Linked DNA regions of Cricetulus griseus. The protein of the gene in region 3 interacts with the protein of the main gene of each other region in a biochemical or structural test. Links are inferred from orthologs where the notes say so. Each region holds a gene or a part of one and is shown on either strand. Other genes may lie near its edges. The genes, in order: Sh2d1a, Inpp5d and Cd244.

Region 1 (4,213 bases), on a different chromosome or scaffold from region 3:
ATATGAGTTTTAAGTCCCAAATGATTTGGGCCTAGCCCCATTCACCAAAGGGCAAATCGAATTTCACATACAAAACCAATGTATATGCCAAACTGGCTAGAAAAAGACTACAAGGCTGTAGCCCTATACAAAGAACTACAGGCAACTGAGTTGGGGGTAGGAAGTGGTCTCCCCCAGGAAAGAGTGCACCGATTGGTTGTCCAGTGCCAAATGGCTGTTAGCCCTGAAAACATAGATATAAATAGCATTATAGAGATTCAACAGGTTGTAATTAGGAATTACGTATGTATATGCATATGTATTACATATGTATATATGTATATGCATGCAGTAAGAGCAGGGAGGGATATTTGGAAGGGTTTCAAGGGTGAAAAGTGAAGGAAGAAATGTCGTAATTATAATCTCAGGAATTAAAGAAAACTAAGAAGCACCAATAAAAGGATGTGCTCTTCTTAAACTCTTCAGCTAGATCAATCTGGAATAGTTTTTTTTAGCACAATTATGGTTTTTTTTTTGTGTGACTGAGCTGATACTTTTGGATCTTGAACACAATATTAAGTTAAAAATTAATATTTGCTTGAGCCTATGCTTATTCAAGGATTAGGCATATAGCTTAGTGGTAGAAGGGTTCATCTGTGAGGCCCTGGATTCATTCCATTATTAGCATTGAAGAAAAGGAAGCTAGTTCAGGAAGATCTAGTCCCAAATACACACAGTTCACAAATACTTGGAGGTGCTGTGGAAGCCTCATGAGCGTGTTCTGTCATGATTTTGTTGTCCCAGTGTCTTTATGCGTTTCTTTTGTCAGTCTGTTTCTGCCCCTTATGATGCCACCTCTATCACTGATTCTTTTGTACACTGGTTAAGGCAAGTCATCGCTGATGGCTCTGCAGGTTGCAGGGACTACACAAGAACAAAAGCATCACCAAATTTCTCATCTTTGTGCAAGGTCTGCCGGAGATGAGTACTCTTCATCTCTCAAATACTACAAGTGTTCACCTTTCCAGTGTTCCCCCTCACCAACAAGGAGGAGCAGGTGATCAAACCCCACGACGAGTTTGAAGCTGCTAAACTGCTGAGCTGGCCTTAATTGAAGTGTGAGAAGAGGTTTTAAGGCAGGTAGACAACATCCTGTTGTTGGGGCGCTCATCTTTTTTTCATCCTGGCTGCCCTGGGAGTCAGGTGGCTGATTGTGACTGGTAACCACCGCAGCAGCAAAGGCAGCAGCAGCATTTCCCTTTCACCGTCTTCCTCTGGGCCTGTACAAGAGTCCACCAGGCATGGATGCAGTGACTGTGTACCATGGCAAAATCAGCAGGGAGACTGGGGAGAAGCTCTTGCTCGCCACGGGGCTGGATGGAAGCTATCTGCTAAGAGACAGTGAGAGTGTTCCTGGCGTGTACTGCTTGTGTGTTTTGTGAGTACCTTGTGGTAGTGGCAGTCTGGTAGCACGCCTGCCTTTACCCGCTGGGGAGGCCTGGAAGCAGGGGGCACAGGGTTACAGCTTTTAGTTAAGGTAGTCAGGGACACAGACAGCATCAGGGACTCTTGAGTATTCTTCATCTCTCATGCCTGGTGCCAAGGCTTCCCCAGACCCAGCTCAAGGCTGTTTTGGGTAGTACTTGGGTATAGGATGCTTACTGGGGATTTCATCTACTGTGTCTCACCAGTGTGTTTGTGGCAGCCTCTCCTGTACTAGAGTGAGGATTTTCTGGAGCTGCTGAGATGCCTTCCTTTATAAGAGAGGCCAAGGAGTTTAAAAACGTGGAATGTAACAATTCCTCTTTGCTCTTTGTCTGGACTGTTTCCAGCCTCTTGTTCCATTTTGAACTAGATGGAGCTGCATCTCGGCTCTCTACCTCCCCGGCCAAGCAGATCTGAGATCGAATCCTACTATAGTCAGCCTCTAAGCTTGTTGTCTCAGCAAATCAATCTCTTAGTCCTTGAGTTTTCTTATTTATTAAAGGGACTGTAAAGATGAAGTAAATCCACGCTTTTAAAAACAAGTACACTCTGGGCTTGGCACTGAGCAAATGTTCTGTAAGCTATTGGCTTTAGTTTATTATTATTGTCTTTTTGGACAACAATTTATTTCAGTACTCATGGAGGCATTTCTGCAAAAGGACCTAGCTCAAGCATTACTGAAAGCAGGGTAAAAAAAAACTCACAAAATCTTCACTCTAGCACAGTAGAGTCTACATAAAAACGAAACAAAGGAAAATGCTTTGTAATGTGTTCTGGACATGATGATACACTACAAAATTTTGAAGTACTTTCTGGGACAGAAAATAAAGATTAAATTATGGATGATGTGAGAGGATTGCCATTGTATATTGGTTTTTTTTTTTTAAATGGCCAAGTCTTATTTGTGGCAGTTTTCAGATCAGGTTAAATACATTTATCATAAAGGCTTAAAGTTAAATATGTGGAAAAGTAATTTTTCAGTGTTGGGGACAGAACCCAGGATTTTATGTCTACTGGAAATTGCTTTTGCACTGAGCTAGACATCAGCCTTGGGCTTGGACCTTTACGTTCTCAAGTGGAACCTTAGGAAGGACAAGAAAAGCCAATGAAGATCCTTGGTTTGATTTTTTTCTTGTCAGAAGATGGAGGATGGTGAATGAAATGAGCTGCTTTGACTTAGCAGCGGGTCAAGTAGCATGCTCCTTAAACTAAAGGCAAAAATGAAGGTTCAAATGAAGCCTGAATAGGGGGGAGAGAGCTGGAGACAGTATACCCAAGACTTCTACTTTATAGACCACCTTTGTTCCTGAAGGTCACCATGCCTGCTCCACTCAGGATTTTACACCTTCTGTTCAATCTTCACCCCTTGATTATTCTAACATTTGTCCGTGTTGCTATCCCACTATTTTTATTCAAGGACCTTTAAACTTTCTGCTAGCTTGTTTACTTATGTATGTGTTCTACCACAAAAATACCTTCATGAAGGAACAAATATTGTCCCCAGTACCAGAAACATTCCCTGGTATATAATGGGCACTCAGCAAACGATTTGTAAGTAACTGAATGAACTGTTAAGGCATATTGTACTCTACTACAAAGAGCCTTGGGCTGACAAGAGGCCAGGGTTTGGGCTCTAGGGAGTCACTCAGATTCTCTGGGCATTTCATCTTCCATATATGTAAAACAGAAATCTGTTTCTTTTCTGTTAAAAAGATTGCTGTAAGTAAAAACCTGAAGGGAGGAATTCTTAGGTTTTTAGGCAGGTAGGTCAGGACCATGTAAGGAATTTCTCATCATTTTAGTTTTCACTGAAGGTGAATGCTGCGTAAATGCAAGGTTTTGTTGTTGTTGTTGACTAATTTTCCCATGAAAATAGAGAAGTAGAGAATTCTCCTCCTGTCATATGGTTTTTCCCGAGTTATGACCAGGCTACTGTGGAGGGAAGAGTCAAGATTCTTTGCCTTTGATTAGTTCTTTAGTTATTTTGGAGCTGGGTGTCCCTTTTGATACACATACATATTTCATTCTCTCTTACTGGCACTCCGTGGTACTCGCAAAATGTTATTTTGGAACAAACTATGCACACTTAATTCAAAATACTGGGTTGTATGATACAGAGTAGGAATAAATAGAATCATATGTGTTTGAACAAACATGCAATACTTGCAGTTAACTCAGTGCCACTTTGTTCTATCTTTTGTTTATTCCCATTAACCAAGAAAGCTTGCTTCAACTTCAGTTTACTCGATTTTAACTGTATGTTTCCAATTGTACTTTCCAACTATATATTCCTCTTTCCCAGATGAAATCCCAGCCGTGGTCCTCAGACAGGGCCTTTTCTCCTGTTAGGTTCTTAAAAAACAGAATGCTTCAAACATTGTAAAAGGTTTCCACTTATATAATTGCTACTCTTCATCAACAATACAAAGCTTTTCTTCCAATTATTTTCTCTAAATGTAATTAGAATTAAAATAATTTGTCCAAATAGTCCTTTACACTTATTTGTGATATTAAAATATGAAAACATAGATAACGGAATCAAAGGAAAAAAATCACTTATAGGCAACTACTATTAACTTTTAAGTAAAATTTCTTCTATTTTTTAATAAGATGAATACTTTTGAACATGTACATGCTTTCACTACATTTTGCTGTAATTTACATGTTGTATGAAATAAAAGCTGATCCATACGTAATATTTTCACAAAGAAATTCAAGACATTATTTTATAAGGGTTGTATTTTAGTTC
Region 2 (2,612 bases), on a different chromosome or scaffold from region 3:
CATTAATATCATCTTTTTACAGATTAAGAAGGCAAAGAACTGGGCAGTGGAGACTTGGGATTTAAATCTGACACAGAACTGCAACACAGCATTTGTCTATTGTGTAAGACCCTGAGTTTGACCCTCAATACTGCAATAAAATACAATAATAGGTCAGGTGTGTTGGCAGAAGCCTTTAATCCCAGTACTCGGGAGGCAGAGGCAGGTGGATTTTTGAGTTCAAGGCCAGCCTGGTCTACTGAGCAAGTTCCACGACAGCCAGGACTACACAGAGAAACCCTGTCTCAAAAAACAAGAAACCAAAACCAAAATAATAACAACAATACAATAACAGAACAGACAGCAGTCTGGCTCTAGAGTTCACTTCTCTTGTGGTACTGTGGACTCAGCCGAAGGCTTCATGGAGGCTTCGGGTATATTCCACTACTGAGCTACAACCTTAACATCCAGAATGCTGCCGCTGATTCTTCTTAAGCCAGTGTCTTGCTATACAGCCCAGGCTGACCTTGAACACCCGGTCCTCCTGCATTAGACTTTCAGAGTGCTAGGATTATAGGGGTCTACTACTGTCTTCAGCTTCAACTGTGATTTTTCTTTAAATTGTTGTTAGCTTTGCTGTAGAATAAACAGACTCGATTGGAAGGGGATATTCTGCCTGAAGTTTCTAAAAATACCAGGAATGTTTTAAACTATATATTAAGGATGATAAAACTGGGCTGGAGAGATGGCTCAGCAGTTAAGAGCACTGACTGGTTTTCCAGAGGTCCTGAGTTCAGTTCCCAGCTACCTTTTGGTGACTCACAACCATCTGTAGTGAGATCTGGTGCCCTCTTCTGGCCTCCAGGGGTACATGCAGGCAGAACACTGTATACATAATAAATAATCTTTTAAAAAAGGATAAAACTTGGGCTGGAGAGATGGTTCAGAGGTTGAGAGCACTGGCTGTTCTTCCAGAGGTCCTGAGTTCAGTTCCCAGCAACCACATGGTGGCTCACAACCACTGTAATAATGAGATCTGGTGCCCTCTTCTGGTGTGCAGATATACATGGAAGCAGAATGTTGTATACATAATAAATAAATAAATAAAACCTTTAAAAAAAAGGATAAAACTAAATTATAAATGACCGAAATCCCGGTATTTTACAGAGCTAGGTGTTTATCCACAGCTCCTCCCCCTGTCCCTCTCAAGAATCATTTGCAGATGCCGTGTAGGACCAATCAGGGGCACAGAGGTGCCAGGTTCAAACCCCAAGTTCAGCCCTTCCTCAGAGTACTTCCCAGGACACTCACTCACACCACAGACACACAGGCATGCACGCAGGAACATATGAATCAGCGCACCTGCATGGCAGTCCTGCCAAGTAGCCCCTCCTCGTGGCGGTGCTTGCCGTGGTGGGGGAGCTCCGAGTTGTCTCGGTAGTCTCGGCCTTTGGAATGCTGCAGTTGCAGGACTGCAGGGCTCTTGACTGGCAGAGGCGGCCGTGGAGCTGGGATGGGCGTCGTCTGTTGGCTCATTTCGGACCTGGAAGGCTTGATAGGCCTCTTGACTGGCACCGGTGCTTGGGAACCAGCTGAGGCTTTGGACTTGCCTTGGTTTTTGTCCCCACTGGGCATTCTTCCCTCAGCAGAGGAGGAACAGGTAAAAGAGCGCATCCGGGGTGTGGGGCCAAAGACAGGCACGGGGACCTGTTTACTTGTCCCCTTGACACCCTCCACCTCTTGGGCTTTGGGGAGCAGTATGCTGGGTGGTGAGATTCCTGGGTCTGGACAGGGCGGGGGTTCCTTCCGCAGCATCTTGGGAGACTCCTGCTCTTTCCTGGGCACCAGCTTAGGGAAGGAACTCACAGATCCATACAGGGGGTTCTCAAACATCTCCGGCTTGGTCAGCTGCAGGTCTTCCTGTAACAGAGCTTCTACTTTGCCCAGGTCACTGGGTCTGGAACCATGGAGAGGAGGAGAGGAGAGTGGGGAGAAAACACATTCAGAAGTCAGGACCTGGGGAGTAGATGCTTCATGCCTCTGGGCTTTCACTTAGGGATGATAATGTTCTGTAACTATAGTGGCGTTGGTATAACATGTAATATACCAAATTGTTCATTTTCCAGGGGATAATTTTACACGAATTTAACCTGATATACACATTTTTTCAACACAGGGTCTCACAATGTACCTCTGGCTGATGTATATCTGCCCCTCTATCTGCTGAGCCTTGGGATAAAAGACTACGACAGGCTAAAGGTCTAGTCCCACCAAGCTCTGTTCGCAGTGTGAAGCATGCGGTGACGTCTACCCTGGGAACCTCTCAGGATGACACCACGAACTTCCATTTTCTTTGTTGCTGTTTCTAGCTTTGCTTCCTGGGGTTACTGAAGAGATTGGTTTTGTCAAATGAGCAAACACCTCAGTACCTACTGGATGGAGTCCTTGGTCCTAATCCCAGGGAGGGTTACTGAGGCTACCTTTAGACCTGGCTAGGTTCAGGGACATGCCTCCCCGCTGCTCCCCCCTTTCAGGGAGTTCAGGTAAGGCACAGGAGTATCATTGCCTCTCCAGAGGAATCCCAGGCAGGCCTGGCATCGGCGTTGGACTTGGAGGGTTGGGGGAAAACCATG
Region 3 (4,151 bases):
TCCTGAGATCAACAGTGCTTGGGTGGGAGAAATGGCTCAGTAGGTTAAGGTACTTGTCCTCAAGCCTGATGACCTGAATGTGATCCCGAGGATCCACGTGATGAAAGAGAATTGGCCTCCACAAGTACCCAAAATGTAGGTGAGCACACCCATAAATAAATGTGTGGGTTTTCTTAAAGATCAGCAATGCTTGAATACTTGAGTGTCCTTTAGGATAGTTTTCAGAATCAAATTAAAAGTTATCCCTGAGAGTGTGTATGTAAAACTCTGGTACACACATGTATAAAAATGTGTAATAAGGGAGCTGGAGAGATGGCTCAGCAGTTAAGAGCACTGGCTGCTCTTCCAGAACTGAGTTCAATTCCAAGCAAACATGAGATGGCTCATGACCATTTTTAGTCTGGATCTGATGACCTTTTCTGGAATCAAGGCATACATGCAGATAGAGCTCTCATATAGAGCTCTCATACACATAAAATAAATAAATCTTTTTAAATGCCATAATAAACCCATTACTTTGGTTGTTATTATTTTAAATAAATGTGAATGTTTGTGTCCCACCATTCTAATTCAAATATTGAGACCTAATCAGTATGTTGGTATTAGAAAGTGGAATGTTAGGGGAAGTGATCAAGAGCGCTCATGAATGGAATTAATGTTCTTATTTAAAAAGTGGGTCAGGGGACCCCACAGGCTCCAAGAATCCTGCTTATTTCCCATTCTTTCTACCACGAGAGGACAAAATGTTAAGAGTCTGCATGCCCCCACAAAAGCCTTCCCAGAACCTGACTATGAGGGCATCCTGATCTTTGAGTGTCCAGCTTTCAAACCTAAAGAGACAAATGTATGAACTACCCAGTGTGTGGTGTTTCAATACCCAAGCACTTCAGTGAGGGTTTGCTTCTTCACCATCAGCCTGCTTTGCTTTTTCCTGGATATAATAATTATCCCTGATCCTCTTAAGACAGCCCTCGACCCCTGGAGCTCCCTCACGGTTATCTGCCAGCATCCCTGACTTTGAGTAGTAGTGTTCAAGATGTAGTGGTGGCTCAGGCCTTTATTCCCAGCACCCAGGAGGCAGAAGCAGGCAGATCTCTGTGAGTCGAGGTCTACAGAGTGAGGTCCTGAACAGCCAGGGTTACACAGTGAAACCCTGTCTCAAAGTCAAAAACAAAGTAATGCAACAGAGTGAATTTCCTCACATAACAGATGGAAGGCAAGGTCTGACTTTTGGAAGCAATGAACAACAGTGAATTTAAAAGCTGCTTTACCCTGGAAGAGGAGGCAGGACATTGTCTTGAATCAGAGGCCTCCTTGGGACTCACTGAGTAACAGGCAGGCAGGGCTATATCAGCAAGACATTGTCTCAAGACAGGAAAATCGGCTTCACCAATCCTGGCCCCAGTACAGCCCCATCCTCTTCTCCAAAGCCATAGACGACCTACCAGCCCCTGGAGACTGAACTGGAAGAAGTGCCGTATTCGTCTTTCTTACGTTCCTAACAAGTTCTACCACATAGCGTTGCTATTTTTTTATACACACTGTCCTGTCCTGCCCTGAGAGCTTCAAGAAAAATGCAACCTTAGCTAAGTATTCCTAGAGCCTGCATCTTTCCAGGTGGGTAAAGATGATTCAGTCCTGAAGGGATGAATGAACTCCCTAAAGAAGGCTTTCCCATGATATGACAAACTTTAAAAGATTCCCCCACAGAAGGCCTCCCCCTCCCTGGGGAGCAGAAAGGGGGTGAGTGGGAGGGGGCGGGAGAGGAGGGGAGGGAGAGGGAACTGAGACTGACATGTAAAAGAAGCTTGTTTCTAATTTAAATAAAAAAAAAAATCAAAGAAGGAGGAGGAGGAAAAGGAGAAGATGGAGGAGACGGCTTTTCCATCCCCAGTGAGATACAACGGTAAGCTGTTCCACCTTAGTCTCTCCCCTCATGATGGTTAGTTATACTTTACCCTGCCACATCTTGAGCTTCTGTGTAGTTTAGCCACTTTATTACAAAGATTCAAGGCCCTGCAAAATTCACATAAACTCAGAGGCTTCCCCAGGTCTCTGGAAGTCTGGGACAGAGGCTCAAATCAGGGTTTTGAAAACCAGCCGCCAACACGAGGTCACAGGTTCCTCCAGCCCCACTGTCACCTTCCTCCCCCACATTAAGCTTTCACTATTTCGCAGTGAGTGAGTGGGGTCGGCCTCGGAAATCCCACCTCCCAAGACACTTTGCAAACTTCGGAGCCCCAAGACCACCTTGAAGTTTGTTAATTCGGTAGAAAAACTCAAAGAATCCATTAAAAGCTACTTTCAGCTGGTTCGTGTTGCAAATAAAAATACAGACCAAAATGAAACAAGGGAAAGCAACATAGAGCAAGGTCTGGGGGAAGCTCCAAAGTGACGTAAGCAAACAGAGCTTACCTCTCAAAACATGGTTACAGTACCTTGCACATATGTACAAAATTGTCCCCAAAACGATGTTAACTTCAACCAAATGCCTTTTCAGTAACAGTATGATTTAATACCATAATTAAAGTTACTGATTTTTAAAGTCATTAAACAATATAAAATAAATGACAGAAATTATTTTTTTTTACAAAAAATGACTTAACTCTAAAAATTGGGTGTGACAATATATATGGAGTATTGCCACCAGGAAAGCTTGTGAGCTGTGTCTAGACTCTGTACTTGGTCATATACATCCAGGCTCATCACGCACACAGCTGACCTTGCTCTCTGACCGCTTCCGAGGTTGATCTGATGCTAAGTGGACCAAGTCCTCCACAGTAAATCACTTTGTTGGCACAGACTGTCATGGTCCAAGGTTGTGCTAAATGAAGACACTCTTAGTCAGCCATATTCCAAGGCTTAGAAATCACCTCCTAAAAGCCCAGGGGAAAGGCCAGGCCTTTCTTTGAGCAATGTTAATCCTTTTCTGTACATCTCAAAAGAAAAAGTTATTCAAGCAATTAAGGATGAGTCTTTCAAAGGGGACCCTCCTGGTTTTAGGGGTGACTTCAGCCAGTTTCTAAAGAATTAAACACATAATTACTGTGTCACAACACTAAGAGAAAACTAATTGTCTTTATTTCTAGAACTATCCATACTGTCTGTGTTCTGTCAGGATAGCACAGTGGCAGGAGGCTCACAGGAATAAGCAGTCACACCACTGAAAAGAAAGCCGGAGAACTACTCAAAAGTCAGGTACATTCTGGTAACAGTTCAGAGGTCCCATGAGAAGGACTGTTTTTCCGTTGCTGTTTTCATTTTGTATTGTTTTTTTTTTTTTGAGACAAGGTTTTATTCTATATATTCTGGAATTCTTTATGTAGCCCAGCTGATGTCAAACCCACAGTGATCCTCTGTGTCAGCTTCCCAAGTGCTGGGATTACAGGCGTAAGCCACTATACCCGGTCAAAGAGATGTACTTTAATCTGTTCTGTGTGGAGCTCCCCCACATAACCAAAGCACCTCCCACTAGGCCCTTCCTTCTATTGGCCCCATCACCTCTCAGCACACTGGCTCCAGAAATATGAATATATGGGGAACACATGCAAACCATACCGAAACCTCAGCATCATGACGAAGATTTTAACAAGCAGCTGGTGTCTTTTAGTCGCTATTTCTCAAAAGGGTTACAAAAGTTCTTCTGCTTCTCCGTGTGTGTGGTGTGTGTGTGTGTGTGTGTGTGTGTGTGTGTGTGTGTGTGTGTGTGTGTGTGTGTGACGTGCGCATGATCATCTCTTGGACTTTTCACTCCTCAGAAAAAAAAGAAGACTTTGCCTGCCACATCTTTGCAGGGCTTAGGTCCCAGGACCCTGGCTAGGAGCGATAAGGAAAAGCTGGGACTATGTGCACTGTGCCCTCTGCTGGAAAAGCCTCAGCACCCATGACGTGTGGTGTGTTTATTTTATGGGGCTGAATAGGGAGGTAGAGTTTTTGCATACAGTGGACCAATGATGTTGGGTTATTACATACAGATAAACAAAGAGATGGGGTTATTCTATGCAGGTGAACAAGGAGACAGGTTTTGTTAATCTCAATAGCTGCAGTCTGTGGGAAAGCAATCTGCAAGCTGTAAACATAGGGGTGCGGTTGAAAGCTGCAGCAGACCATTTCTGCACACTGGCAACATTCACACTCTGACCTGGGAAAGA

What was found.
Region 1: the proteins of Cd244 (region 3) and Sh2d1a interact in a biophysical measurement, tested with the Homo sapiens proteins (2 studies listed by IntAct). The link is inferred for Cricetulus griseus from reciprocal best matches to the Homo sapiens genes CD244 and SH2D1A.
Region 2: the proteins of Cd244 (region 3) and Inpp5d interact in a biophysical measurement, tested with the Homo sapiens proteins (2 studies listed by IntAct). The link is inferred for Cricetulus griseus from reciprocal best matches to the Homo sapiens genes CD244 and INPP5D.

Annotation. Positions count from the first base shown.
Region 1 is NC_048604.1:25,515,500-25,519,712, reverse strand, and holds the start of Sh2d1a (SH2 domain-containing protein 1A), read left to right. Parts: upstream 1-1,280; coding exon 1,281-1,417; intron 1,418-4,213.
Region 2 is NC_048595.1:439,363,384-439,365,995, reverse strand, and holds part of Inpp5d (phosphatidylinositol 3,4,5-trisphosphate 5-phosphatase 1), read right to left. Parts: intron 1,937-2,612; coding exon 1,342-1,936; intron 1-1,341. UniProt on the Homo sapiens protein: Phosphatidylinositol (PtdIns) phosphatase that specifically hydrolyzes the 5-phosphate of phosphatidylinositol-3,4,5-trisphosphate (PtdIns(3,4,5)P3) to produce PtdIns(3,4)P2, thereby negatively regulating the PI3K (phosphoinositide 3-kinase) pathways.
Region 3 is NC_048598.1:21,242,031-21,246,181, forward strand, and holds the start of Cd244 (natural killer cell receptor 2B4), read right to left. Parts: upstream 2,811-4,151; coding exon 2,723-2,810; intron 1-2,722. UniProt on the Homo sapiens protein: Heterophilic receptor of the signaling lymphocytic activation molecule (SLAM) family; its ligand is CD48.